4 linked regions of the Elephas maximus indicus genome follow. The protein of the gene in region 1 interacts with the protein of each later gene in a biochemical or structural test. Links are inferred from orthologs where the notes say so. Each region holds a gene or a part of one and is shown in the gene's direction. Other genes may lie near its edges. The genes, in order: MAPK3, PTPRJ, PTPRR and SREBF2.

What was found.
Region 2: of the proteins of MAPK3 (region 1) and PTPRJ, one has a biochemical effect on the other in vitro, tested with the Homo sapiens proteins (2 studies listed by IntAct, with this or other methods). The link is inferred for Elephas maximus indicus from reciprocal best matches to the Homo sapiens genes MAPK3 and PTPRJ.
Region 3: the proteins of MAPK3 (region 1) and PTPRR form a complex in vitro, tested with the Homo sapiens proteins (2 studies listed by BioGRID). The link is inferred for Elephas maximus indicus from reciprocal best matches to the Homo sapiens genes MAPK3 and PTPRR.
Region 4: of the proteins of MAPK3 (region 1) and SREBF2, one has a biochemical effect on the other in vitro, tested with the Homo sapiens proteins (2 studies listed by BioGRID). The link is inferred for Elephas maximus indicus from reciprocal best matches to the Homo sapiens genes MAPK3 and SREBF2.

The regions. Positions count from the first base shown.
Region 1 is NC_064830.1:89,118,974-89,125,952, forward strand, and holds the start of MAPK3 (mitogen-activated protein kinase 3), read left to right. Parts: upstream 1-3,889; coding exon 3,890-4,053; intron 4,054-5,133; coding exon 5,134-5,316; intron 5,317-6,979.
Region 2 is NC_064825.1:103,307,995-103,315,225, forward strand, and holds the start of PTPRJ (receptor-type tyrosine-protein phosphatase eta), read left to right. Parts: upstream 1-4,183; 5' UTR 4,184-4,211; coding exon 4,212-4,634; intron 4,635-7,231. UniProt on the Homo sapiens protein: Tyrosine phosphatase which dephosphorylates or contributes to the dephosphorylation of CTNND1, FLT3, PDGFRB, MET, KDR, LYN, SRC, MAPK1, MAPK3, EGFR, TJP1, OCLN, PIK3R1 and PIK3R2. Plays a role in cell adhesion, migration, proliferation and differentiation.
Region 3 is NC_064822.1:132,265,262-132,272,339, reverse strand, and holds the start of PTPRR (receptor-type tyrosine-protein phosphatase R), read left to right. Parts: upstream 1-3,925; 5' UTR 3,926-3,930; coding exon 3,931-3,964; intron 3,965-7,078. UniProt on the Homo sapiens protein: Sequesters mitogen-activated protein kinases (MAPKs) such as MAPK1, MAPK3 and MAPK14 in the cytoplasm in an inactive form.
Region 4 is NC_064822.1:185,997,997-186,005,812, forward strand, and holds the start of SREBF2 (sterol regulatory element-binding protein 2), read left to right. Parts: upstream 1-4,711; 5' UTR 4,712-4,868; coding exon 4,869-4,956; intron 4,957-7,816.

The DNA.
Region 1 (6,979 bases):
TCCTTTGAACTATTTTTTGCAACTTTTTGGTCAATCTAAAACTATTTAAACTGAAAAGTTAAAAAGTAGAAATATGATAATATGAAATTACAGTCTGACCAGTTGTAGAGGGGATGGCTTTGGCAATAAAATGAGAAGAAATTGGTTGGATGCGGAGAGAAATGGTAAAATGAAAAACGACAAGGTTTGATCCTGAGAGAATGGTGGTAATACTAAAGCTAATAGAGTCTGGAAGAGAAACAGGTTTGGAAATAAAGAGGATGACTTTCATTGGACATGCTGAATATTTGTATCAGCTAGCCTCCAGGTAAAGCTGTGCAGCAAACACTGGAAATCTGGCACCAGGATGAAGGAGAAAGGCAATGGCTAAGGGTAGAGATTTTACATAAAGCAAAAAGTTGATGCCATAGGAGTGTGATGTGACTAAGGGGGATGGTGAAGAGAAAAAAGGCTGGTGAGAAGAGGAGCCCAGGGAAGGATGCCAGTAGGGACTGGCAGAGGTGGCGACAAAGATTTCAGAGAAAGGATTAGGTGAAGAAGGCCTATTCCTGAGGAGAGATGTTTGGCCATAGATATTCTCCAATATTTGAAGAGGTGTCATCAGAAAACTACAGCAGAGGTTTTTTAGATTAAGAAAAAAAAGTGTTGTTGTCATTAAGTGCCATCCAGTCGGTTCCAACTCATAGCCACCCTATGTACAAAAGAACGAAACACTGCCCCTGTCCTGCACCATCCTCACAATCCTTGTTATGCTTGAGCCCATTGTTGCAGCTACTGTGGCAGTCCATCTCATTGAGGGGCCTTCCTCTTTTTCACTGACCCTCCACTTTACCAAGCATGATGTCCTTCTCCAGGGACTAGTCCCTCCTGACAACATGTCCACAACATGTGAGACAAAGTCTCACCATCCTTGCTTCTTTCTGCTTTCATTCTGGCTGTACTCCTTCCAAGACAGACTTGTTCGTTCTTTTAGCAGTCCATGCTATACTCAATACTCTCCGCTAACACCAAAATTCGAAGGCGTCAATTCTTCTTCACCCTTCCCTTAAAAAATGGTCAGTACTTAAATCTTGACAAATTTGTAAATGCCCTCTGACCTCTATTTCTGCGTACTTGCTACCTTCTCGGTTAGTGATGATTAGTGGAGTTAGTTGAAATGGGAAGGTTCATTTGTGCTCTGAAAAAACAAGGTTCCAGTCCTTGAAATCACAAAAAGTTAAGAACTGGGTTTAAGATTTAATCTGGGTAAATACAGAGGACAGAGATAACCAACTAGAAGCTGCTAAAAAACTCAAACAAAGCAGTGAGCTGGGTGGGACATAATGAACTACCTGGAGAGGAAAATGATTCCTGGGGTCCCTTCCAACTCTACAATTCAATAAGCCTCTGTTTTTCTCTTCTCTTAAAAGGAAATAATAGTATTGACTTCATACGGCTTCTGTAAGGATTACAGGAGCTAATGTATATAAAAGTGCCTGGCACAGAATAGATGCTCAGTTTCTATCAGTTGAATGTGAATCAGTTCAATGGACTAAGAAATCCCAGTCCAACCGTCCGAGGAAATACCAACCACAGCCACTAGAGGGCAATCTCGGTCACTCTCTTCAATGAGACAAGTGCAGCCTGAGGTTGCAGGCGGCCTCACCGGATACACCAGCCTTTCCTATGCCGGGAAACACTCCCACTCAGGAAACCTGGCTTAGTGCTGAACTCCACGGTGTTTTCTCTGAGTCACTATATTCTCCTGCAGTTGCAAAATGATCTGGCAAAAATCCCTCAAAGGCTCTTACTGCTCACTGAGTAACATCCAAACTCCTTGCCAGAACCCAAGACCTTCCCTCACTCGATCTGGCCGCACCCAGCCAGCCTAAACTCCCCTTACTGCTTTAAACCCCAGTCACACTGGACAAGGCATGCTCCCGACCCTGTGCCTTGGCTCAGGCTGCTCCTCCTCCTTGACACCTTTCCTCTAGCCAAAAAAAAAAAATAGCCAGGCATGCTGAAATGCCACTGTTTTTCCAATGGCTCAATGCCACCTCCTCCATTATCCCTCCCTCACTTTCCCAGAAAGAGTGATCTCTCCCACCCCTGAGCTCACACTAGATGTTACATCCATTTATCTTGTATCCAACTGACTTATGTGTATACATTTTATCTCTTCAGTAGATAATAAACTCCAGGAACAGAGAGGCCAGTAGGTAATTTGTCCAGGGTAACACAGCAAGTGAGTGGCAAAAATGGGATTCTAACCTGGGCAATTCGGCTCCAGAGAACTCCTGCTCTTAACCACTAATTCATACTACAATCTTTCACCAGCTGCAGTGCCTAGCTCAGAGCTTTGCACACAGTGACGTTGAATAGTTTATCAGATGAATAGCTGAAAAAACTTTGATCTAATTTGCACCTCTTGAACCGTCATTGAGTTATGGGGTGTCGGGAATCAGCAACTCATCCATCAGAGTTGGAGTGCCTGGCCGTGGGTCTAATGATGAGCAATTTCAGAATTCTAATTACGATTCCGTTTTGCCTTTTGGTCTGGAACACATACAAGGATCTAAAAACATCCTTACTTACTGAAGCCTAGGAGATGTCTCCTTTTGTGAAGCTTCCAACGTATATTTTCAGTGTGAAATGAGGGAGGTGGACTGGATGCTCTGAGGGTCTTTTCTTCAGTTCTAACAGTCTGACTCTGAGGGACTAAGTACGGGATCAGAAAAAGCTTCTGCCTCCATATCAGGAGACATCATTTTGAGTCTCAGAGCTGTCATCACCGTGAGGTGACTGTTTACCCAAGTCAGTTAATCCTAGTCTCAGCTTCCCCATCTGTAAAACGTCATCTATTCAGTGCCAGGCACGGGGAGGGGGGGATGATACAGTAATGGACAGACATGGCCTCTGCTCATTCAGCTAAGAAAATCGGATGACACTTATATTTTAGGGTTGTCCTAAACTGAAATGATCCAAGCATTCTGTAAACTGCAGTGTCTGGTACAGGTTCACGATGCTCATCTTGCCAGGGTTCCCATTTTGCCAAATCCAATGGCAACAAAAACGTTTCCAATTTTGCGGTTTTGGGGAAAATCCAGATAGTGTTATCTTAATCAAACCCAGTCACCTCTGCATGCGGCCTTCTTGCCTCTCTCCTGCCTCCCAAGTAAAAGTTGGCTGGGGCTATCTGTGCTCCGGGCACTAATCAAGCAGCAGACCGCCACTGCTGCAGTTGCTGGCAGAGGAGAGGTACCCACAGCCCACTTCCACAGGCTCTGTCGACAAGCCAGACGCTGGGAATCTGGACCCCTGGGTTCACCAGCTCTCACTTGAGCTGAAAGGCTCCAGGTCACCAGGCCCCTCTGGAGGCAAGCCACATCTGTGATGAAGCCATCTTGCAGGGCTACTGTGAAATACCGAGGCTTATCAGGGGCGAGCCTGGCCAAACGACAAGGGGCCGGCGAGGGTTCCATCTCGAACCCCTGGGCGCGCCTCGGCCGCAGCCCTTCCTTCGGGAAGTCAGCGACACGTCCCGGCTGCACCACACACCCGCTGGACGGCTTCGGGACAAGTTCACCGGCCAGCCGTACTGGGCTCGTCTCTCCCCGGGGGGGGCGGTCCGGACCAGCCCTAAGACCGCCCCGTGGAGCCCGCGGGCGCCGAGGACCACAACGCCCGCAGGAGACAATCTGGGCGCGCTCAGGAGCGGACCACGTGACGCCCGCGGCCCAGCCTCGAGCTGCGCGGGAGCCAGGGGGCGGGGCGCCAGGGGCGGGGCGGGGCGCCAGGGGCGGGGCGGGGGCGGGACCCGGCGCGCGCCGCTCCGCGGTGACAGGGCGGGCGGGAAGGGGCGGGGCCTCGGGCGCAGCCGCCGGGGGGAGGTGGGAGGGGAGGAGTGGAGATGGCGACGGCGGCGACTGAGGGGGGCGGGGAGCCCCGGGGAGCTGATGGGGTCTGCCTGGGGGTCCCGGGGGAAGTGGAGGTAGTAAAGGGGCAGCCGTTCGACGTGGGCCCTCGCTACTCGCAGCTACAGTACATCGGCGAGGGCGCGTACGGCATGGTCAGGTGAGGGGGCGTCCCAGGGGAGGGGGCTGTTTAAGCGATCGGGGTGATTTAAGGGGAGGGGGCTCCGAGAGTGGGGGAGGAGAGGGGAAGGGGTGCTGAGTACTTCCTGAGATGTGGAGACTCGAGCGTCCCGAAGAGGCAGGGGACTGAGGAGGCTCGGGGAGCGTCCCGGGGAGGGGACCTTTGAGTGCCTTCTGGGGGAGGGGGCGCTGCGTGCGTTCCAGTGGGAGGGGGCTTGGAGGCCTTGAATGGATCATTCCATACTGAAGGGAGGGGCTTCTGAGTGTATCGAGGGGACCTGTGGGGACCTTGGGAGGAACGGGTGGAGACCCGGGGCCGAAGAGGTTAAGTGTTCTTGGGGAGGTAGTATCCTAAGGGGGAGTAAAGGACCTTCTTTGGAGAGAGGATGCCTGGGATTCTCCCACTGAGACTGTGCCAAAACAGTTTGGGAGAGAAGAGTAGCGCTTAGGGCTGGGCAGGGTGGGGCAGGGCTTTGGGCTGGGGGCCAGAGGCCCAGTGAGGGATGAGGGCCAGGAGTGCCTCCCTGCATCCTTTGGGAGGGGTCTGTGAACTCTCCCAGCCTCACCGGCTGCTCTGGGCTTCTGTTCCTGCGGGAACAGCTCTACTGCCCAGGTACTTCACCCTGACACCAACCCCTGCCTTGTCCCTTCTTTCCAGCCCTTCCTATGGCCCCCTCCGTCTCACTGTATTTGCCTCACTGTATGTCCTCTATTCATCTCCATCCCTGGACCTGTCTGGGGTTCAGGGCGCACACCCTGTGGGAAGAGGAAGATGAAGGTTCAGGGCAACTAGAATGAAAGGGGGGTGAGAATAGGGGATGTCAGCGAGCGGTCAGCCTCTTCCTCCGTTTGTGAAGTCACCAAAGGGCTGCCTGGCTGGTCCCCTGCCTTCTCCCTAGAGATCCCAGGCCTCCCCAGCAGGAAGGAACCATCATTGTTTATGGCTTGACCAGAGCCCTCTCCTGCTCCCTTCCCTCCCTGCCAAGGCCTGGGTGGGGCTACCAGTCCTGGACTCCCCCTTTATAAGGCCACACCATCAACATCTCTCTGGCCCTCTCAGCTCAGCTTATGACCACGTGCGCAAGATTCGTGTGGCCATCAAGAAGATCAGCCCCTTTGAGCATCAGACCTACTGCCAGCGCACGCTGCGGGAGATCCAGATCTTGCTACGCTTCCGCCATGAGAATGTCATTGGCATCCGAGACATTCTGCGGGCACCCACCCTGGAAGCAATGCGGGACGTGTATCCTTCACCTCTGCCGGATGGCTGGCCAGGCGTGGCCTTGGAGCTGGGCTGGGGACAGCATTGGCATTCTTTCTGCTTCCTTCTTCCCTACCACCTTCCAGAACAAACCCAGTAAAAGAAACTTTCTGGCCCGAGAGGCCACACACAGAGTGTTAAAGGATTGGGGCCTTCATTGAATCCTGGCCTGCTGCAGCCAGGCCATGTAGCCTTGGGCTAGTCCCTTTTCTGCCCTGTGCCTCAGTAGGGGGCTGGGTGAGATAGTCTCTATGGGAGCTTTGTCTTCTGACATCTGCAGTTCTGTGACATGATCCAGCCTCTGCCCACAGTTGGTTCTTGCTTAACAGACTGATTCTTTGCTCTCTAGACCCCAGACTGGAACGAAGGCAGGAAGGAAGAAAACTGCCTTTCCTTGAGGGCCTACTATGTGTAGAGAGCTGTGCCTGCCAAGTGCTTTGATGGTTCTTATTCTCCCTCCCAACTGCCCTAAGAGATGGGCCTTGTGAGCTCTATTTCAAAGATGAGGAAAAGGAGACTCAGAAAGTCCAAAATCAAGTGCTTCTGTTGCTGCCTCTTCCCCTTTCCCAAATAAGAACTTGTCTTTTCTCTGGGATTTCCCTCTCAGAACCCCACCCAAGTCACCTCTGAACTTGAACCTTGCCCAGGGAGGGACAGCCTAACTTTTGTTGGCCTCCTCTGATATTGCTTTCCTGGTTTGTTGTCCACTTCCTGCCTGGCTCGATGGCTTCTGTTTTCAGCAGCTTATGATACCATCACCCCTTCTCCCATCCCAGACCGCCACCCAAAGTAAATAAAAACCAAACCTGTTGCCATCGAGTTGATTCCAACTCAGCAACCTTGTAGAATAGGATAGAGCTGCCCCGTAGGGTTTCCAAAGAGTGGCTGGTGAATTCAAACTGCCAGTGTTTTGGTTAGCAGCCATAGCTCGCTGTAGCTCTTAACCACTGCATCACCAGGGCCCCAGCCTCCACCCAAGAGTGGGGATTTGCCCTGTAGAGTCTGCAGCCTCCACCACAGACTGGACAGGGAATCTCTGTGCTTACCCTGACTTGCTGTGTGACCTTAAGCCAGTCACTGCCTCTTGCTGGGTCTCCCCATCTCTAAAGCAGCAGGGTTGGTCCACATGTCCTCAGAAGGCCCTTTTGAGGCTGATTCTAAAAGATATTCAGTACTTATTCCTCCAGAGACAAGCCAAATGGCATTTATTTATATTTAATATTTGTTTTATCTTAAAATGTAAATGTACATTTATTCCTCAATCTTCTGATTTTTGGCCAACGACTCTTCTTTGAGTAGGAGTGTGCTGTTGGGAGTATCTCCTCATTTTTCTTGCGCAAACCATTCCCATCAGGCAGGAATTTAAAAATAAGCAAATATTTATTGCATGCCAGATGGTGTTCATGCATTATCTCATTTAACCCTCTCAACAGCCATGTGGCACGGACATTTATAATAGTTGATGTTTGCTGATTACTTACTATGTGTCAAACACTGGGCTGACTGTTTTACATGGGTTTTGTCATCCTGTCCTCACAACCACCCTCTAAAGAATAGTTATTTCCTTCATTTGCAGATGGGGAAATAGAGGCACAGACAGGTCAGAAAGCCAGTGAGTAGTAGAGTAGGGATTTCAGACTTTGGT
Region 2 (7,231 bases), on another chromosome or scaffold:
TGTGTGACCTTGTGTAAGTAATTTAGCCTCTCCGAGACTCAGTTTCCTTGTTTGTAAAAAATTAAAAAAAATTTTTTTTTGTTCTAAGATTTTTTAATTGTAGTAAATGCACAGGTAATAAAACATTTACCATTTCAACAATCATCGCATTACAATTCAGTGACTGTAAAATATTCACAATGATACCTATTCTTTTTTTTTTTTTTTTTTTTTTTTACCTATTCTACAAGGTGCTTGTCAGGAATAGAAAGAATGGATATGAAGTACCTAGACTAGTGCCTGACAATACCAAACCAAACCCATTGCCGTCAAGTCGATTCTGACTCTTAGCGATCCTATAGGACAGGGAAGAACTGCCCCGTATGGTTTCCAAGAAGCAGCTGGTGGATTTGAATTGCTGACCTCTTGACTACCAGCTGAATGCTTAACCACTGGGTCACCAGTGCTCCAATTAGTAAACACTTGATAAATGGAACTTATCATTATTAGGGGCATGATCAGGCCAGTCACAGGATAAACAGTGCTTCTGAATCCAGCAAGAATTACCTGATGTGCTTCTTAAAACACAGGTTCCCAGGCTGCACCGTCTACAGTCTAAGGCAAGCATGAGAATCTGTTTTATAATAAGCCCCAGTGATTCCTATCAGGCAATTTGGAAAGAACCCAGGAGCCCTCCACTCTGAACTCTTGGTATGGCCCTTTGGTCCTTTATGGATCTGGCTCCGTATTCAGTGAAGCTTTAGCCTTGGCTTGAAGGTGGACATGATGAAAAGGTCAAACATCATTGGGCATTATTAAGGAGAATGTGTCCTGAGCTTTGCATGGTAGATGCATTCCTAAAAAGCTGCTTATGAATGGAATTTGGTGTGTGTGTGTGTGTGTGTGTGTGTGTGTGTGTGTGTGTGAGAGAGAGAGAGATAGAAAGAGAGAGAGAAAATAGGCATAAATCTAATACCCTAGTTTGCTGTTCAAAGGAATGCATTCAATTTAATTAAATAAGTATCATTTGAGTGCCTGTTACGTGCTACGGATACAACGATAAACAGGGTGCAGGCCCCATTTTCAAGGGGCTTCCATTAGGAAGATGGACAAGTAAACAGGCAATTACAACACTGTTGATAAGGTTGAGCAAAGGGAGCCCTGGGCACATGGCGGAGTGGGCAGAGTACATCCAACTCCGGCTGGGTCATCTGGGAAGAAGTTCTGGGGCAGTGACATCTAGGGAAGAGACCTACACACTGGGATCTAGTCCCTATTCCTTTTGTGAAGTGAATGCTCCTCTCCTAATTTATGCTTGTGGAAAAATGAACATTTACTCATGGTGCTCCGGGTGCACTTACACAGCCATATCAAACCCAAACCAAACCCACTGCCGTTGAGTTGGTTCTGACCTACATTGACCCTACAGGATAGAGTAGAACTGCCTCATAGGATTTCCAAGCCTGTAATCTTTATGGAAGCAAACTGCCACATCTTTCTCTGACAGAGTGGCTGGTGGGTTCAAACTGCTTGGTTAGCAGCTGAGAGCTTAACCATTGCACCACCAGGGCTCCTACACAGCCATGCATCTGCACAGATATTTGAGTTCCTGCTCTGAGGAAGGCACTGAGTGAGGTGTTACAGGGCAATAAGATGAGGCAGGCCCAACCCTTGCCCTCAGGGAGTTTACACCACACCTACTTGGGATTAACTTCATTCCTCATATAGTTCATTAATCCAGTGTGATTGTTTATGACTTCACAGGTAGTTTATTCAGGTCTTAACTCCCTTTACTGAAAAGACTGTTTATTCTGTTTCATCACTGTGCAGCGGGGAAAGTTGGTTCCAACCACCACTTTGTGCGGGCACGTGTTTCATCCAGGAGAAAACCGACAGGCACGCAGGAGTTCACAGAGTCGTTTGCAGACCAAAACCACGAAGCTGCAGAGGCCTGGGTGGGCCTCTAGGATCAGCTGAGTCTGCGAGGACCTGGGACACCCCACAGATCTGGGAGCACCTGAGGCAAGCCACCCATGTCTTCTCACCAGGCATCATGGACAGCAACATCTTTCAAACTACCTGTCTGTGCCCTGAGATGGAGGGGGAAGGCTGGGAGCAGCAGAGTGTGTAGGGTGGCAAGATATGCAAGTCAGTAGGTGAGGTCCCCTTACCTTCTTTGCTTGTCTGTGTGTGCAGTGGGGTGGGAGCCCTGAAGACATTTTAAATAAAGATATAGTTCCCATCTTGTAGACTGGGAACCTGTTGCCCAAAGGGATGCCTGGAGGCAGTATTGGACATCTGGTGGTTTCCACACTAGTGCACGAAGAATGCAGGTGGACCCCTGAGTGATATAAACATTAAGCGCTTGACTGTTAGCCTAAATGTTGGCGGTTTGAACCCACCCACCAATGCTCGATGCTTCAGAAGAAAGGCCTGGCAATTTGCTTTTGAAAGTTCTCGACCTTGAAAACCCTATGGAGCGTACTTCTACTCTGAACACGTGGTCGGAATTGACTCCACAATTGGAGTTTTGGTTTGTACATAATGTCCTGCCCAAACTCCTTGTTCTGGCCTTCAAAGTCTCCCCCAAATATGTTATGTTGTTGTTAGGTGTCCTTGAGTCACTTCTGACTAATAGTGATCCTATGTACATCAGATCCTATGTACATAAGAAACACTGCCTGGTCCTGCACCATCCTCACAATTGTTGTTATGCTTGAGCCCACTGTTGTAGCCCCTGTAACAATCCATCTCGTTGAGGGTCTTCCTCTTTTATGCTGACCTTCTACTTTACCAAATATGATGTCCTTCTCCAGGGACTGATCCCTCCTGATAACATATGCAAAGTATGTAAGACGTAGTTTCACCATCCTTGCTTCTAAGGAGCATTCTGGTTGTACTTCTTTCAAGACAGATTTGTTCGTTCTTTTGACAGTCCATGGTATATTCAATATTCTTCGCCAACACCACAATTCAAAGGCAATTCTTCTTTGGTCTTCCTTACTTATTGTCCAGCTTTCACACGCATATGAGGCAACTGAAAATACCATGGCTTGGGTCAGGTGTACCTTAGTCCTAGTCCTCAAAGTGACATCTTTGCTTTTTTAACACTTGAAAGAGGTCTCCCAAATATAAGGTCCCAAATTTCCTATCAAGAAGGCCCAGCCTGAAGCATTCACCTTCTAGCGTTTGGCAAGTGGCTCCCACTTCCTGAGATGCTGCTCTCCTCTGCCTGGTGAAATCTAACCCATCTTTCACAGCCCAGCTCCGATGTCACCTCTCCCTCTGGTTGGAATTAACCTCTCCCTCCTCACCACTCCTTGGTTTGGCTCTTTTTCTCATTCCTTCTCCTTGGGCAAGTCACTTGGCCTCCCAGACCTTCAGTTCCTTCCTTTGTGCAAGGGCATGGTAGCGATCTCTCCCAGTAATCATTAACCCCTTTTAGGCCATGGATCCCTTTGATAACGTGATGCATGCTCTCCCAATCGCTAACGGTTATTGAGGTGCACTATGTGGCAGGCTTTACACCCATTATCTCTTTTAATCCTCAGCTAAGTCCTTCTAGACAGGTACTAGTATTATCTTCATTTCACAGATGAAGGAAGGAAGGCTCAGGGAGCTGAAATGCCCCTCCCAAGGCCAAACAGCTAGTACTACCAGCAGAGCCAGGTTTCCCATATGCCAGAGCTGGGGTCCTGACATCACTGGACCTGCTCCAGTGCCGGTCACTGCCTCCCTTGCCTGGGCACAGGGCTAGGAAGGACACAACACACAGCATGCTGCCTACAACTTCGGGGATCACGCACCCACAAGCCCACCCACAGGCCAGGTCGAGAACCCCTTGGCCGGCTTGCCGTCTGGACGGGGGCCCAGTTGTGCCCTCGGCAGGGGTCTCGGTCACCATCTGGTGACCCAAACTGGGGGCCGTGGAGCGGGGCCGAGGCTCGGGGCGCCTACAGGGGTGCGGGCTCGTGCCCCAAGAGCAGAGGAGCCGCGTCCCGGGTCCCAAATCCCAGGAATGTGGGAGGGCTAGGCGAAGGGGCCGGGCAGGGCGGCGGGGACGCTTCCTCCGCCCGCCCGCCGAGGGGAGCCGCTGGCCCGCTGGGCGGGGGCGGGCGGCGAGGGGCCGCGGGCTCCGCACGGCCAGGCCGCCGGGCGGAGGAAGCGATGAATATTCAGAGGGGGAGGGAGGGGGCCGAGCGCTGGCCGCGGCTCCCTGCAGCCTAAGCCGCATGACGCGCCGAGGAGGCAGCTGGAGCAGCCGGGGCCGCGGGAGCCGGGCTCGAGCCGCCGCGCGCGGAAGGTGGGCGCCGCTCGCTCCGCCCCGCGAAGCCCCTGAGCGCCCGGGGACTCGGCCCCCCCGCCGCCGCTGCCGCGCCGCGCTCCGCCGTGTGGCCGCTGCCGCCGCCGCTGCCATGTCCCCGGGGAAGCCCGGGGCGGGCGGAGCGGGGACGAGGCGCACGGGCTGGGGGAGGAGGAGGCGGAGGCGGCGGCTGGACGCAGCGACGACCACGGGGCCCGACTCGCGCGGCCCGGGCACGTTGCAGGGCGCGCGGGGCATGAAGCCGGCGGCGCGGGCGGCGCGGCCCCCTCGGCGCTCGCCCGGGCTGCGCTGGGCGCTGCCGCCGCTGCTGCTGCTGCTGCGCCTGGGCCAGGTGAGCTGCGGGGCCGGGGGTGGGAGGGCGGGCTGGCGTCCCTGCACCTGCCCGGGGAGCCCCTCCGGCTCGGGGGAGGGGGCGGTAGCGAGGGACCCGGGTCCTCGGCGTCCCTCTCCTGGCTGGGGCTCGCGGGGACCCTGGCCGGCCTTGCACGCCGGCGACCGAGCGCCTTTGCCTGCTGCCCAGTTCCAGTAGGGGGGCGGCGGAACGCGGGGTCGCGGGGTGCCTGTCGCCTCCCCGAGGAAACCCCCGCGCGGGCTAGCGCGCCACCAACCCGGCCCCCTCCAGGCCGCCCGTGGCCCGGCCCTTCCCGGAGCCGGTCACATCTGGCCGGCGCGGGCCCGGCGCGCCCGCCAGAGGCGGCCGGAGGGGGCGTGTTTGTCCAGGGCTAGGGACGCGAAGCGGGGCCGGCCAGGCCCGGCCGCCGCAGACCTCCGACCCGGCCTGCAGGGCCCGAGGGGCCGGGCCGAAGGGCGGCGGCGGCGGCGGCGGCCCGGGGGCGCCGGGAGAGGAGCGGGGCCTCCGGGAGGAAGACGTTGCTTCTGGGGAAAGTTCCCAGCCCGGGAAGAGATGGCCACTAGCAGGCGTTCATTCTTGCCGGGCGCGCCGTAGGGCTTCCTTCCCTGGGTGGTTACTTCGTGCTTTGGGGGCACCAACTGTCTCCCCACCCCTCTGTTTTCTAGCTTGAGTTTTCTGATAATGCTGTGCGTGGCTTTTTGGCGAACAATCTTTCTGAAAGCATCGTTTCCCCTTCACGGCATTCCCATGGGGGTGGTGGTGAGGCAGGACAGCTGGGCGTGGGGGGTGTTCCCATTTCACAGATAGGGAACTGAGGGAGAGAAGTGAAAGAATGGCAGCGCCCTGCGGATGCCATAGGGGCTGAGCAAGCTGGTTTGTTCTCCCAGACTTCGGGGAGCCTGTGAGGGTTTCATACCTCAGGCAAACTGGCCTCCTGATGTCCCTGTTGCCCATTTTGCTAATGAAAATCTCGTTGTTTTATAGATACCAGCTCTAAGGAGATGATGTTTGAAACCCAGGAAGTGAGTTACTGGCTGAGGATGGAACCTGGTTTCAGGGAAAACTTTTCAAGCACAAATACAGGATTGTCTGGGAACAAAAACATCAGCGATGGAGGGAGCAATGCAGCCTAGCAGGCAGGGCCAGAAGGGCGCTGGGGCCTGGGGACTGTGGTAACCCTCAAAGGGTCACTCTGGGTGGCCTGTGTCTCCTTAGTTTTCCTAGCAGGCTTTGAGGTGCTCTCGTGAGGGCCTGGAAGGTAGTGGATCTTCTGTGGAGAATACTGGAGGAAGTGTCAGCTCCAGGGCTAGGCATCACAGTTGGACTTGCTTTTCAGTCTCCTGCCAGCCTCGGTTAACAGCATCTGTAGAATGGGTGTAATACCACTGGTCTGATAGGGTTGTCTGAGGAGATTCCGCTGTGAAATGTCTGAAAGAACTTTGTAAATATGAAAGGATATCCAGATGGGATTATCATTAAGGTAACTGTTATGGGCTGTCTTCTCCCTGTCCCTGTGAGGAAATTCTGGCATCACAGTGGTTAAGAGCTTAGCTTCTCACCAAAAAGGTCGGCAGTATGAATCCACCAGCTACTCCTTGGAAACTCTATGTGGCAGTTCTTCTCAGTCCTGTAGGTTTGCTATGAGTTGGAATCGACTTGACAGCAACGGGTTAGCCTGCGAGATTAAAAAAAAAGAGAGAAAATTGCCTCAGTTGAAGATTTTTTTTATACCAGTGTTTATATTAATGAAATATTTCAGCTTTATTTTTCATTTTGTGTGTGTGTGTATGTATATATGCATATATGTACCTGTTCCTGTTGCCGTTGAGTGGATTCTGATGCAGTGACCCTATAGAACAGACTAGAACTGCCCCATGGGGTTTCCAAGGAGTGCCTGGTGGATTTGAACTGCTGACGTTTTGGTTAGCAGCCAAACTCTTAACCACTGTACCAGCAGAGCTTCTGTATATGCATATGTATATGTGTGTATATATATATATTTTTCTTCTTCTTCTTTTTTCCCCTCAGACATGGTGATTGCTTGGTGTGCTTTGAATCAGCAAAAAGTTTCTTGGGTAAATTTATTTCTTGCCTAACCCTTCCTTGTATTACATTAACATGTTGCCACTCTGTACTTGTCCCATATTCAGATAGTTCCTTCCTCTAGAGTTTGTTTTTTAGAAACTCAAGAAGAGTCTCTTGAATTTCTCAGTTTTGGATATATTATAAAATAGGAAATCTAAAAGGCTTTCTGAAAAATCATCTTCCAAATTCACGTTTGGTACTTCTGTTTGATAATTGGCTATTTCAGGGAATCAGAGCATTGTTGAGTTCACCGTTCAAGGTAGTTGAAACCTCTCATTTCTTTAAATGAAGGTACTGCGGTCCAGAGAAGACAGTGATCAGGCTGAGGTTGTCTCATGAAATAGAGAGGAGCTGGCACCGGAACCTGGGTCTTCTGGCTATGTCTGGTATTTTCATGATGCTACAGTATTTGAAAACCTCATGTTTTCGTTTTGCTCTTACTTCTAACCATGGACATAGCGCTACCTCACTGTGTGTTTCCCAGAGCTGTA
Region 3 (7,078 bases), on another chromosome or scaffold:
AAGAGATTAGGTGTTTGCTGGGAAGGAAAAGTCCATAGGATACTAGCTTTCCATTCGTCTTTTAAAATGTAAATGATTTCCTTTAGGAAACAGCTTTATAGGCCGGCACTAATTTGCATGCTTCTCTCATTCTAATAATTTTCGTGTGTCTTTGAACTGGAACTAGCTTCTCTAAACCCCAGGTGCAGTGTGTTAACCTAACTTCTCTAACACACCACATCGCCTTCACTAGCATTAGATCACAGAGTCAAGGAAAAGTAGTACCTATAGATTAACAGAGACTATTTCTAAGAATTCAGAGGTTTTATTTTATTGCTGTTCAATTTCACACATCATGGGATCAAAACCATTAGAGGTGTTATATTAGATCGACTCACCAAAGAATATGAATTTTTCTTGCCTTCTTTTCTCTATCAAGTAAATTAATCATTAATGTCCAGTCACCAAAAATATAGCTCCTATGAGGTTATTTTTACCATGCTGAACTATCCTAGTAGTATACCTGGTCAAATTAGAAATTGGAAAAATTTTCAGCTAAGAGTATTTTCTTGCACAGTTTAATAATTCAGCCCCTAGGCAAAATAGCTAGCAGAAGTCTTGTGGGCAAAGGCACAGCCAATTATATTAATTGAAACTATAAATGTCCCACTCCTCCTGGAATAATTGTTGGAATTATTGTGTGGGAAAATAAGGGGTCTAGGGCCTCACTGCAGCTAGTGTTTCACTAGTATGAGGCATTTTCTTCTTGGAGAGACCTATGTAAGTCTGGAAATTAGCTCTTTTAGGGAAGGAGAAAATACAGGAAATCCACACTAAACCCCCACACTAAACCCTACAGCAGTTATATCCCCCCCACACTAAACCCTACAGCCTCTCCAGTACCATATATTAGATGAGAAGGGTTACTCCTTCTTCTTATTGTTAGTTGCTGTTGAGTTGGGTTTAACTTGTGGTGACCCCATGGACAACAGAATGAAACATTGCCCTGTCCTGTGCCATTTTCATAATCATGGGTATGCTCAAGTCCATTGTTGCAGCCATTGTGTATTCTGAATGCCTTCCAACCCAGAAGTTCCAGCACTATATCAAACAGTATTCTGTTATGATCCATAAGGTTTTCATTGGCTAATTTTGAGAAGTATATCACCAGCTCTCTTTCCATAGTCCTACTCTGAAAGCTTTGCTGAAGCCTGTCCACCATAAGTGACCCTGCTAGTATTTGAAATACCCATTGGCATAGCTTCCAGCATCACAGTAACACACAGGTCACCACAGTACAACAAACTGACAGATGAATGATGGCCTCTAAGCTTTGTTGTTGTCGTTGAGTGTCGTGGAGTTGATTCTATCTCATAGCGATGCCATGTGACTGCCCCATAGGGTTTTCTTGGATGTAATCGTTAAGAAAGCAGGTCGTCAGGTCTTTCTCCTGCAGAGCCACTGAATGAGTTTACCCACCAACCTTTCAGTCAGTATCCTAGCACTTACCCATTGTACAACCTCCTAGCTTTAAGCACAGCTACATAAATTATCTCAAAGGTCTATTTAGTAAGAATTCCAAAGAGCCAAGCTGATTGTCACTACTTAGCTTTGTTTATCAACCAATTGCTTTCAACTTATTCATTCTTTGAGCACCTATTTCATGTAAGGCACTGTTCTAAGCAGTTGGGAGACATAAGTGAATAAAATTGTCCAAAGTCTCTGTCTTTATGGAGGTCATATTTCATAGCTGGGGGGAGGGATATAAACAACAAACAATAGATTAATGAGTAATTATTTTGGTATGCTAGAAAGTGATGTATGCTATTCAAAAAAAAAAAAAAAAAGGAGATAGAGAAAAAAGAATCTGGAGTAAGAGAAGAGGTTACAGCTTCCTTGGGTTTGGAAGAAATGGTTGTGCCACAGAAATAGTGCCTGCCAGCAAACCCTGGGAAATAGAAGAGTACAAAGAGTGAGGCTACACATTTCTCTATTTTTGGCATAGACGACCTTTCAATTTTTAAAGCTACATCTCCCCTTCTCCCGCCTGTTGGGGTACAATTCCTGGCCTGCCTTTCAGTGCCGGGGATGAAATAAATTATAAAAGAAAAATGATGCTGTTTGAGCTTTCAGGTCCTATGAGATCCTGCCTAATTTAAGCTCTGGTGAGTAGCATATTTCCCATCACTTGTCCCAATTTACAGAGGATAGAGGAAGAAAGCATTCAATTAGATATGCAGTTCAATTCAAAGAGTACTTGTTGGTATCTATTATTTCCCTAGAACAATTTTATTGAATTTAAGTGATACAAAGATGCAGAAGTTCTTTATGGAGCCTTCAACTGTGCTGTAAGACAAACCACAGATGCATGAGCTATGTGAAAGGAAAATAACAGGCAATGCTAACCAAATGTGTATGCATTCATAGGTGGAAGAGAAACATCACTGTAATTTGAAGTTGGCCCAGGGCTTTCTGGACACAGTGAGACTAAGGTTAGACTCTTGTAAGCTTGAGTGTAGTGGTAGTGCAAGTGGAGGCAATTAGAGCGGAGGCAAGAGTACCAGTAAAGACGCAGAAGCAGAAAGGTCAGTGTTCCTTGAATAGTTAAAGAAGTCTAACTGTAGGACTTCTTGACTCTGGGAGTAATTGGCCACTAAACTAGATTAATAGGGATCTCCACACACCAAAGACTTAGCAGTAAGATGGAAAATACAAAAAGAGGGCAACCTACGTTAGACAGACTGTAATAGCCTCCCTTGAAACACAAAGCTGGATCAGAGAAGCCCTGTTATGGGAGGTGATCCTATTGCCTTTTACCTTACAGAATAAAATGGAAACTAAAGGTAATTATCTTCACAGATAAAAGGCATCTTGCTTTGCTTCATGGATGTATTCCGCTAGTCTAAAAGTACGGGCTCACTTCTTTCTGTCGTTTTGGCCATAAATTTTTGACTTGAGTCAAGAGAAAGTTTAAATACAGACTGAGCTGGAAGGAGGGGAAAGAGAAACAAAGAGGGGAAATCTGCTAGGAAGAAGACACCCCCAGTCTGCACCTTCACTGCTTACGAGGGGTAGGCTGTTTGGGGGGCCTCTCCAGGCAGCTTAGGATGCTCAGCAGGCCAAGCCACCCGATAAGCAATCTATATTCCCGTAGGCTAGTGCTGAGAAGCTGGTCAATCTGAGGCCCACCAAACTCCCAGCACTGAGCTTCGTCCACTTGTAAACCAAGAATTGGTGAAGGGATAGGGTAGGTCGGTGTGGCTGACACTTTCTTTGGTTCTCTCTTTGGTTCCTCTGGTCGTTTCCCCATCTTGTCCCCCCGCCCCACCCCATTCCGCCCCCGCCCCCCGCACAAGGGTTTTTGACAGATTTCAAGACTAATAACAGCCCCAAGCAGCCCCCTGGGGTGGTGCCTGCTCCCCTCGCAGCCGCCACTAAGACCCGGAGAAGTGGATTTTCACTTTGAAACTCCCGTGCCGCGTGAGGGCTGGTGCTGGGCATGCTCAGTAGTCGCGGCGAGGCCGGGCTGCCTCTCTCGCTGCTCCGGCGGCCGCGCCACCCGGCTCCAGAGCTGGCGCGGGAACGCGACCCGAGTCCACCCCTCCCGCTCCTCCGCAGCTGCAGGGCTTCCAGGAGGCCAAGCATTAGGACCTCTGAGCGGCACAGCACCCATCTCCCCACCACAACCACCACCACCACCACCCCCAGCCAGCTTCCTCCTACTCTTCTTCCTCTCCCCGGTTCTTAGGGAGGTGAAGCTGGTGCTTGTCTCAGTCCGCGCCACAGACCAGCTCTGCAAACCCAGCCGAGGACCCGTGAGCTAATTCCCGGAGACCAGAGGACCCTTCGCGGTGGCTCTATCTAATCTCACTTTGCCTGAAGTGGGGTCGTGGAGGAGTTTCTTCTCCACCTCTCAATGCAAACACTATGCGGAGAGCAGTCGGCTTCCCCATGCTGTGCCTGCTTCTTAGTCTTCATGCTGCAGGTAAGGAGTTGCAGGGCATAGAGCTGGAGCTGTGGATGAAATGGGAAACTGCCAATGCTTAAGGACTCTAGGAAGAGCTTGCCTTGCAAAGAAAGCCCTAGAAAGGCAACGCAGGACACTACCTGGCAGGGAAGGGGTGAGGGAGCCATGCACCTGTTGGAAGACTGAGGCAGAAAACTTGAACTTAAAATCAGCTATTAATCTTTCCGTACATCTCGAATATTTTCAGCCTTTGTACAGATTTGCTCCTCTTCTCTTCCATCTAGACTCCCTGCCCCTGTTTCTAGGTTATGCTCTTGACTTCCACTCTTTCAGGAGAGGGACAAGACATCCTGCTGGATGCAACCTTTTTTTTTTTTTTTACTGCAGCGGCTGTATCTACATGCTCTCTTGGTTTAGTGAGCGCTCACAGGGATGCATTGGCTGTAACCAGATGGACCACATCTCCTCCCAAAAGATCGAAATACGTGGTTCACACCAAATGCTGTTAACCCAGGCTCCTTTGGCCCCTGCTCTTGTCAATCGAATTTTGTAAACCAGTAAGAGGGAGAAAAGGTTTCAAATTGTACCCTCTCTTCTGTTTCAGCACCATGGGCAGAGTCCACTGGCAAAAACCCAATCACAGTTTCCAAGCTGACAACCCTGGGACAGATTTGATGAGGTCTAGCCAGAAGTGACAGTGAGACTGCTTCTAAATATGAACAGATTTGATACCAAAACCAATGTCAGGTTTTATATAGAAGCAAAGCTTAGGAAGTGCATGGGAAATTTCATATGCGATGTCACTACAGACCTTGATTTTTTGGATACATAGTGCCTCTATGTAATGCAAAGACTTGCTCGACTGAATCCTTTATCATTTTTATACATACATGAACCAAAATAGAATATGGCAGAGAGGTTTTAGGGACCCTACTGCGACAGCAGTCTTCTATGCAGTAGTCCTGTAGCAACCAAAGACTAGGTATTTTCCCTGACTTTGCTTATCATCCAATCATACATATTTATTCATTCCTTCAATTAAGACTTATTGAGTGTGTTCTATGTTCCAGGGTCAATGGATAAAAATAACAGCCATTTAATTAGTTATTGTGGCATTTTCTTTAAATGAGTTATTTTTTTCCCTATGTGTGCAATAATAGGAGTATAATATGGTACTTTCTCAATTCTAGCTAAAAACAATTCTAGCTAGTGCTATTTTAATGTATTGTGAATCTTTTGAGCAAGTAATGTATAGGAGAATTAAGGCTGTAATTAAGTACACATGTTAATTGTTATAATTATGATGTTATATTATGGGATTTTCTATCATTCTTTGGCACCTTTTGAAAACCAGGAAATAGCTATGACTTGGTCATTAAATTACTCGCAAACAGCTACAGTGAATCCTTTTATTACCACATACACTTCTTTAATGTTGAAATATGGGATAAAAATACAGACATTGAGTTTTGTTTACATGATTGCCTAATGATAGCACCAATACAGATATCTATTACCTCCTCCAAAAAAAAAAAAAGCTTCAAGTTTAGAAATAATTTAACCAATCTAGCAAAAATACTAGAGTATTGTTCAAAGCTAATATATAAACAACCTTAAAAAGTATTCTACCTTGAAGATCACACTTAATGTATCTTGAGTAATTATAGTTCAAAAAATAGTAACTAAACTTAAAAAAAAAAACCCATGTGGTAAACATTTCTAAATTATTGTAGATGAATATTTGGGATAAGGAAAATAGAGGACTTTTGTTCAAAGGAGAAACCTAGAAGTCTGGAACCCTAGATTATACCTGGAACTCTGCCAAAGGGTGTATTATCAAAGCCAAGCCAATCTATCTCTACTTTGACTTTTTAATTTGCAAAAAAAAAAAAAAAAGATTATTCTAGTGAATTGAATTTAATAAGGCAATATATTGAAGAGTTATCTTTTTCAGATTTCAGTTGCCAGATGCTGTGTAGAAATTAATTGTATTCATATTTAATATAGTGCTTTAGATAGGTGTTTTATCACAGCAGACTGCAAGTTTAATATCGTGGTTCTCTTGCCAGTTTCATTTTGGATGCATTTTAATTTTACACTGAAATTTGTGGGTCACAAGCTGTCATCCGATTAAAATTCATCACAGCTATCTAATAACATTTTTAGAGCTTTACATCAGAAATGAAACAAACACAGATTCCTTGATCTAACCTCCTGTATATTTGGCCAATAAGAAAATTAGTGGGTGGTAGGATAAAGATCAAGAAGTCATGTAACTGATTTCTCTACTTGTTGAATGTCTGAATTTGTTTCTTTTACAGAAGGCTTTTCTCTCAGGACAGAAACAGGCTTTATAAAGAAGGGAAATGAGTCCTATATACTTAGGCGTCTTTAACTGGAAAGCTAATTGATCCATTTTGGTTATGCCCAGGGAACCAACAATTGCTTTATGCTGGTGGAACTGATGACATGTTAGAAAGCTTTAGAAATGGGAAAAATTGACTAACGGGATGTGAGTGCTCCTCTTAGTGGTAGTAGGAGTGTTGCCTTCAACATAGCCATGCCTCTAATCATAAGGTAGCAAATTATTTTCAACTTGAGTGCCAGCTCCAATTACTTGGTCATGGTTTCCTGAGACATTGTACAAAAAGAAAAAAAAAAATCTGACCCTGAGTTCTAACTCAACAGGGAAAATACTGTGATCTATTTGCAATGTTTGGGAGATGTAATTGACATCTCCGGGTAAGGTAACCCTGAAGAATTGCTGACTATGGCACATATTAGAGAAGCTAGACTTAGCTTCTATCCATGGCAGATGATTTTCATCAATCTCCTTATTTAAAAACAAAAACTTAGTTATTTATCACCCTTTTTACAGATCAGAAAACTAAGATCCAGAATAATGAAGAGTCTATTAATAGCATAGCCAGGATGAAAATCCAAGTGTCCAGACCTGTGATAGCATACTGTTGAAAATTACACACTGGTTCTGGTAGGTGAAGCCGCCACTGAGTTTGTGGTCCCAAATCTCCACTTTTTAATCTTTCTGGGAACCAGTGTAATACGTAAACTCCAATGGAAAAGACCACTTGGGGAATATCCAAGAAGGCAACTAGAAGTTTCTCCAGTAAT
Region 4 (7,816 bases), on another chromosome or scaffold:
TCCAGTGATTCAGGTTAGACTGCCATTCACTTGACCTAGAATTCTTTCACTTGTATACATCAAGAAAATATTTAGTAGATTTTCCATCTATTTCACTCCTAGGGACACCATGACTAAACAGCTTTGACTCTGCCCTCTATTACAGTAATCACACACACCTTGTCTTTGTCCACTGAGTGCCATCACTTGGCCCCTACCACCCCAAGGTCCAGTCAGCCCCATTGTAGTTAGTTGTCTTAGTTCAGTTAGGGTAGTTCCCACTGTCAAATCTGACTTACATAAATAGCAATCACAGCAGTCTTCAAGGATACTGGGGTTCCCTTCACAAATTTTTTCCTCACTCTTGTGGTGAAAGGTGTGTCCTCTGGGCATTCCGTGAGTGGGTCTGTTGATCCAACCTGATAAATCCACTCTAACATGCCTATTTCCCTAAGCCTTTGGATATCTTTTTCTACAGTATACCAAGGCAGGTCTGGCATTTCAACTTGGTTTAGTATAGGCCAGTGCTTAATCCATGCTTCAGTGAACCAACCAAATAAACTATCAGATCTTTTTCTAACCTTTCAAGCTGAAACACTGAATGAAGAATCTGTGCTTAGTGGGCCCACATCAATGAGTGATCCAACTTTATGTCCCTCACACCATTATCCCACATCCTTAACAGCCACTCCCACACATATTACCCAGGTTTCTGTTTATATATATTAGAAAAATCAAGCAGTTCTTTTGGAGTGTAGCATACCTCCTCCTGGGTCGCACTTTCTTCACCTCTTGGGGCTCGCTTGGACTTGTTGTCAGGTGCCATTGAGTCAGTTCCAACTCATAGCAACCCCATACACAACAGAACACAACACTGCCCAGTCCTGTACCATCGTCAGGATCGTTGCTATGTTCGAGCCCATTGTTGCAGCCACTCATCAATCCATTTCATTAAGGGTCTTCCTCTTCTTCCCTGACCCCCTACTTTACCAAGGATGATGTCCCTCTCCAGGGACTGGTCCCTTCTAATAACATGTTCAAAGTAAGTAAGATGAAGTCTCACTATGCTTGCTTCTAAGGAGCAGTCTGGTTGTACTTCTTCCAAAACAGATTTGTTCCTTCTTCTGGCAGTCTATCGTATCATCAATATTCTTTGCCAACACCATAATTAAAAGGCATCAATTCTTCTTTGGTTTTCCTTATTCATTGTCCAGATTTCACATGCATATGAGATGACTGAAAATACTATGGCTTGGGTCAGGTGTCCCTGAGTCCTCAAGGTAACATCTTTGCTTTTTAACACTTTAAAGAGGTCTTTTGCAACAAATTTGTCCAATACAATACATTGTTTGATTTCTTGACTGCTGCTTCCATGGGTGTTGATTATGGATCCAAGTAAAATGAAATCCTTGACAACTTCAGTCTTTTCTCCATTTATCATGATGTTGCTTGTTGTTCCAGTTGTGAGGATTTTTTATTTCTTTATGTTAATGTGTAATCCATACTGAGGACTGTAGCCTTTGATCTTCATTAGTGTTTCAAGTCCTCTTCACTTTCAGCAATCCAGGTTGTGTCATCTGCATATCACAGGTTGTTAATGAGTCTTCCTCCAATCCTGAGGCTCTTTTCTTCTTCATATAGTCCAGCTTCTCGGATTATTTGCTCACCATACAGACTGAATAAGTATGGTGAAAGAATACAACCCTGAGGCAATTTCTTGCTTTTAAACCACACAGTATCTCCTTGTTCTGTTCGAACAACTGCTTCTTGGTCTATGTACAGGTTCCTTAGGAGCACAACTAAGTATTCTAGAATTCCCACTCTTCACAATGTTATCCATAATTTGTTATTATCCACACAGTTGAATGCCTTTGCATAGTCAATAATGTACTGCTGCAAACATTTTTTAATGATCTTCAGCATAATTTTACCTGCATGTGATATTAATATTGTTCAATAATTTCTGCATTCCGTTAGATCAGCTTTCATTGGAATGGGCATGAATATGGATTTCTTCCAGTCAGTTGGCCAGGTAACTGTCTTCCAAATTTCTTAGCATAGATGAGTGAATGCTTCTAGTATTGCATCCATTTGTCAATACATTTTAATTGGTATTGCATCAATTCTTAGAGCCTTGCTTTTCACCAATGCCTTCAGTGCTTTAAGTCTAGTTACATGTGGTGGTGCGGGTGGGTCCTGGGGACATTCAGCAGCGTCTTATAAGGCATCTGCCTCAAGTGTTTTCCCAGGCAACACCCCAGGTGCCACCCTAGGTAATATCTCAGACAGACTCTTAAGGCACAGCTGGATTAATCTCATCAGATGGGGATGGTGGGGATAATGGTTTTACTGGGGAAGGTGCCTTAGCAGTCAAAGAAGCAGTAATCTCTTCAGATGGGAGCAAGAGAGCAGGTATAGTGACAGGAGTGATTCAACTGAATTTAGGGGCTTGATGTCCTCTGCTTCCGGATTATCTGCCCATATGTCCCCATCTCAAGTTTCGGGATTCCATTTCTTGCCAATCAATGCCCTCACTTTAACTTCAGACACTACTTGAGGTTGCGAATTCAATTGGCATTGTGATTCAGCCACTGTTATGATAAGACTTTGGGTTTGGTTTGTGGCGGTATCAGTTGTGTTACTACAAGGAATAAGGTTTTCTTTCATGGCACAAGTAGCAGGTTTGATGTGTTTTGTGCAGTACTTGAGCTGTGACTCTGAAGCCCTGAGCTCATTTTTTTCACCACTTTGTCTTGTGAAAGTAGGACCAACCAACCAGCTTCCTTATACTTCTCATTCTGACAAAATTGCTTGAAAAGTAGCAAATATGCAATCACCCAGAACTTTGTCTCACAAATAGTTGATCCATTGGTGGTGACATTTTGCATATTTTATTTCCACATCACCTTATGGATTAGCAGTGCCCCATTTACTCCCAACAGCAGAGTCATCAGTGCCTTTAATATTAGACAGATTTGAGAACCAATTTAGAAAACTCATCCTTAAAATTTTGCTTCTCTAGAACCACTCTCTACACATCTTAAGTTGGTTCTCTAGAGAAGCAAAACCAGCAAAGCACATATATATAAATACACGTATATAGAGAGACTTATCGCAAGGAAATTGCTCACTCAATTGTGGAGGCTGCCAAGCCCCAAATCCTTGAGTGAGACGTCAGGCGGAGGCTTCGTCTGACTTACATGGTTGCAGGGGCTGGTGAACCCAAAATTGGCAGGTCAGGTGGAAGGCTGCTGGCTCACCTCCCAAGAACCAGAGATCAGAGGATGAAGAGTCAAATGCAAAATCCAGAGCACGGCAGCAAGGTTTACCAGAACATGCATATATGTATTTGATGCAGCCTACACCCCCAATGCACTTCCTTGTCAACTGCAGGGCTGCTCCTGTCAGATCATAAGATGGGGAATGACTACATCAGATCATACAATGAAGGATGATTACATCAGTACATAATTGCCAAACTACATCATTACATAACTGCCAAACCACTGAGAATCATGGCCCAGCCAAGTTGACACACAATCTTAACCATCATAAAAAGAAGGGAAGAAAACAAAGATATTTGCTACGTGTATACCTAAATCCCATTGCTGTAGAGTGTACTCGAACTCATAGGGACCCTACAGGACAGAGTAGAACTGCCCCATAGTGTTTTCTATGCTGTAATCTTTATGAAAGCAGACTGCCACATCTTTCTTCCTTGGAGCCATTGGTGGGTTCAAACCATGACCTTTCCATTAGCAGCAGAGCACTTTAACCACTGGGCCACCAAGGCTATATATATGTATACATATATATATATACGTTTATAAAGTCTCACACAAAACAAGGCAGAAATACTCAACAATTACAGTTCTTGGTTCTGCAGTAAGGTAATTTTCCTAGAAGTTTGCACATTTAAATTTTTTACAAGGTGACCAGCTGCAACCTGAGATGCTTAGAGAACACCGTGGGTGGGCAAAGCCAACGGGTAGTTGTCTTCGCCAAGGCTGCGCGTCAAAATCCCCGCAGTAGTTTTTCAAAATAACCATGCCTGGGCCACCTCGGGAGGCCAGTGGGCACCGGCGTTGCTTTAAGGTCTTCAAGGGGCTCCGAAGTACTGTGCGTGGTCATGGCAGGTGCCAAGGCGCAAAGCCATAAAACGCCGACTGCATTTAGGCAATTCGCTGCCCACGCAGAGCCTTCTTTTCCGCCTTTGTAAGGGGATTGGCAGGAACGTGACCTGGACGATCTCCAGGTTCCCCTCGTCTCCAAGTGTTGGCGGCCAGGTTGGATTCTACGCGCTTCTCTAGGCGGTCGGGGCGGGGTGGGCAGCTGGGAAGATGACGTAATGCGCTCCTGGCCAGCAGGGGTGTCCTGCAGGCGGAGGCAGAGGGTTATGCGTTAACCCTTTAATCTCTGTCAGGTGGCGGGAGTTGCTTGCGGAGCGCGTCTCACAGAAAAGGGAACGGTTCTTTTAAACTCCGGGAGGGAGGTTGGACTGAGGATCGGCCGGCTTGTCTTCTCATTGGCTACAAGGCTGCGGGGGGCGGGGCCTAAGTATGCAAATCAGAGCTGCTGATCGTTGACGCACCATCACCCCACGCGCCGCTTCGAGCGCCGATTGGCCGCCGCCAGCCTGGTCCCATTGACAATAAACAAGGGGGAGCGCGCCCTAGGGGCGGGGCCGCGGAGGGCGCGGGCGGGGGCGGGGGAATCCCGCCCCGCCCCTCCCGCGCGGCGCCGGGCGCAGCGCAAACATGGCGGCGACTGGCGCGGGTCGGTGAGGCGGTACCGGGCGGGGGATCTCGGGTGTCATGGGCGGTGGCGGCGGTACCGCCCCTGCGTCTTCCTGAGCGGGACGGCAGGTGGGCTCTGCGCCGAGCCGGGCGATGGACGGGAGCGGCGAGCTGGGCGGGCTGGAGACCATGGAGACGCTCACGGAGCTGGGCGACGAACTGACCCTAGGGGACATCGACGGTGAGCGGTGGATGGGTGGGTGGGAGTGCGGGGGCGCGCGGGGAGGAAGGGGTTACGGCGGCGCGCGCGGGTGCGCGTGCGCCCACCCCGCGGCAGTTCGGCTCGCGCGGGAAGAGCCCCGCGCGCTCGCCCGGCGGTCCCCAGTCTTCCGGGCGCTGTGGGCTGGAGCCTCGGCCGCCGCTCTGCTCCGGGGCCGTGGGGTCCGCGGCGCCGCGTGTCCGGAAGTAGGGTGTGAGTCGTGGGGGCGCGGGGGCGGTCTGAGCGAGCGCGCGCCGCCGCCTCCCTCGCGCCCACGTGAGCTCCGCGCTCTCCTGCTGTCCCGGCCTGCGTCGCACCTGTCACTCCCGGCCGGGCTGCGGGGAGGCCCTGGGATCTCCGGGGCAGGGCTCCCGGCGCCTGCCCCCACTTCTGGTCTTCCCGGGAGTGACGGCCCACCGGGTTGCCGGGCGCTGGGAAAACTTTGGGCAGCGGCTGCAGAAGCAAGTTGCTGATGAAGCGAGCAGTGGTGTCCGAGCGTGGACGCATCTCTCCGGGACGGAGACCTGACCGTGCCTGCGAAGGGAGTTGACCAGCAGGAGTTTTGGGTTGTGGCCCTTCGTGGGCAGGCTCGGTAGCGGGTGCCCTTTGTTCTGGAGGCCTTCACAGCAGAGTGGAAGGGCTGGTAGAAGCCCAGGGATTTTCTCTTGCAATGTTCTCTTCGTGTAGCCATGGGAACTGGAGTTTGGAGATGGTCAGCGACTTGCCCAAGGTCTCTCAGCTCGTTATGGAGCCAGAGCCCAGGTCTCCCAGCTCCGCGACCAGTGTTGGTTTCACTGTATCAGGCTTCCCCCCGACCCTTGGGGGTGAGGAGTCTAGTGAACAGGTTAGGAGTCTTAATAATAACCCAGTAGTTGCGCCCTTCTGGTGTTTCAGACCCAAAGTACTCTGTTTCATTTATTGATCACAACAGTCCTATGAGATGTTTTTATTGCCCCATTCTGCAGCAATATGAGGCCAGGAGAGGTTAACCTGTGTAAGGTCACTCTCCTTAGAGAACCCAGACCCAGGCTTTTAGACAGTAACTCTGAGGTGCACTGTGCGCTTGAGCTTACCAAGTGCTTTGGCGGGTAGGATCTCGTGACAGCCTTGAAGGCAAGTATGATGGTTCTGTCCAGATTGTGTACAGGAAGAAACGGGTAACAGAAGATTCTTCTCTGTGGGAAGAGAAAGTGGCAGCGACTGACTAACCGAAAAGGATGCCTTTCCCATTTTGCTTCCGCAGCACCTCTCCTAGGCCTGCCCTTGCTTTCTGTGTTTAGTCATCTGGGCCATGTGGTGAGACCCTTCGTTGAAGCCCGGTGTCTTAACTGCAGGTGCTCCTGAATACAGAGATGTGTTAACAAATGGGGGAGGGGGTTTTTGGGAATATAACAAGGACAGCTAACATGTTTGGAGCAGTTCTGTGCCAGGCACTGTGTTCAGCGAACGTACACATTGGTCGTCTTGATCTTCACAACAGTCCTATCAGTTAGTGCCTGCCATTCCACTACTGTCATTCCCTTCTCACAGATCCTAAAACTGAGGCCCTGGTGGGTCATTAACTTGCCCAAGGTTACACAACCGGTAAGAAATGTGTCCAAAGCTGTCTCTCAGCAAGCAGGCAAAAGGAAGTTCGTGTGCTTTTTGCATTCCTAATCCAAAGGAATTCTTATTTGTCTTAATTTGTAACGTGTTCAATTACCTTCTGGTAAAGTAGCTGTATCCGCATAGATTTCTTAGTAAAATGTCCGTTGTGGAAACTGCCACAGTGATTCACTGGCTTCCCAGGTCCCCATCCATACCAGGTTTGGGAGAAGTGATTCCCTGTTTTTAGTTGGTCACCAAGTAGTCAGGTCTGCCTGTGGTTCTTGAGCTGTAGGGAAAAGGAGAGACAGGAGAGAATTTTGTGGCCTCGTGGAGCTTGAGACAGTGACAATAAAGCCGTAGTGCCGAGTACAGAATAGCTTATAATGTGATGTACAGGGCAGTAGGTGAACATCAGCAGTGAGGGAGTTCACTAAAGACTGTCTTACCAGCAAGCTTGCCCCGAGGAGGTGGTCCTTGACTTAGGCTTTGAAGGACAGGAAGGATTGGGCCAGCTGAAGGCCTGTGGTTTGCAGATACAAGCAGTTCTCAATACTCACCCACCATTTCCCCCTCCAGAGCAACAGCTTCATGAGGGCAGGGGTCTTCACTTTGTACAGCGCTGTGTTTCTTGCACCTAGAACAGTGCCTGGCACGGAGTGCTCACTGATAATTTGCGAAATGCTGACTGAATACAATGACCTTGGGCTGGGCAGGATACCAAGTTGTACTAAACACAGTCCTTGGAGTTGGAATAGACCAGGGTCACCAGCCCAGGTGCTTCCATGGTCAGTCAGGTGAAGAAGAGGAAAGCCCCTGTGGCTGTGAGTACAAGTGCTTCCTTCATATGTGTGTGGGGGGAATGGGAGGGCAACAGGCACTTGCAGCCTGGACAGCGCCTGCTCACTTCCTCCTGGCACACAGGTGGTCAGGAATCCTTCGCTGGGCAGAGTCTGCCCTGCACCAGTCCATTGGTGCCCTTTGGGGGCACATGCATTCTAGTCACTCAGCACATCTCTTGAGTGGCTTCTGAGTACCCCCTGGTAGGCACAGTGCTGAGGATAGCTTTGAACAAGACAGACAGGGTCTCTTTCTCAGAGAGGGTGAATCCTCGAGGGAGAAAACTCAGGCTAGACAAAATAAATGAAGAGTTTTAGCAGGGTGCTATGAAGATAATAAAATGGGGTCATAATATAGTGACTAGGGTAGCCTACCTGAGGAGGTAGTCATGGAAAGCCTCTCAGGAAGAGATGTCAGT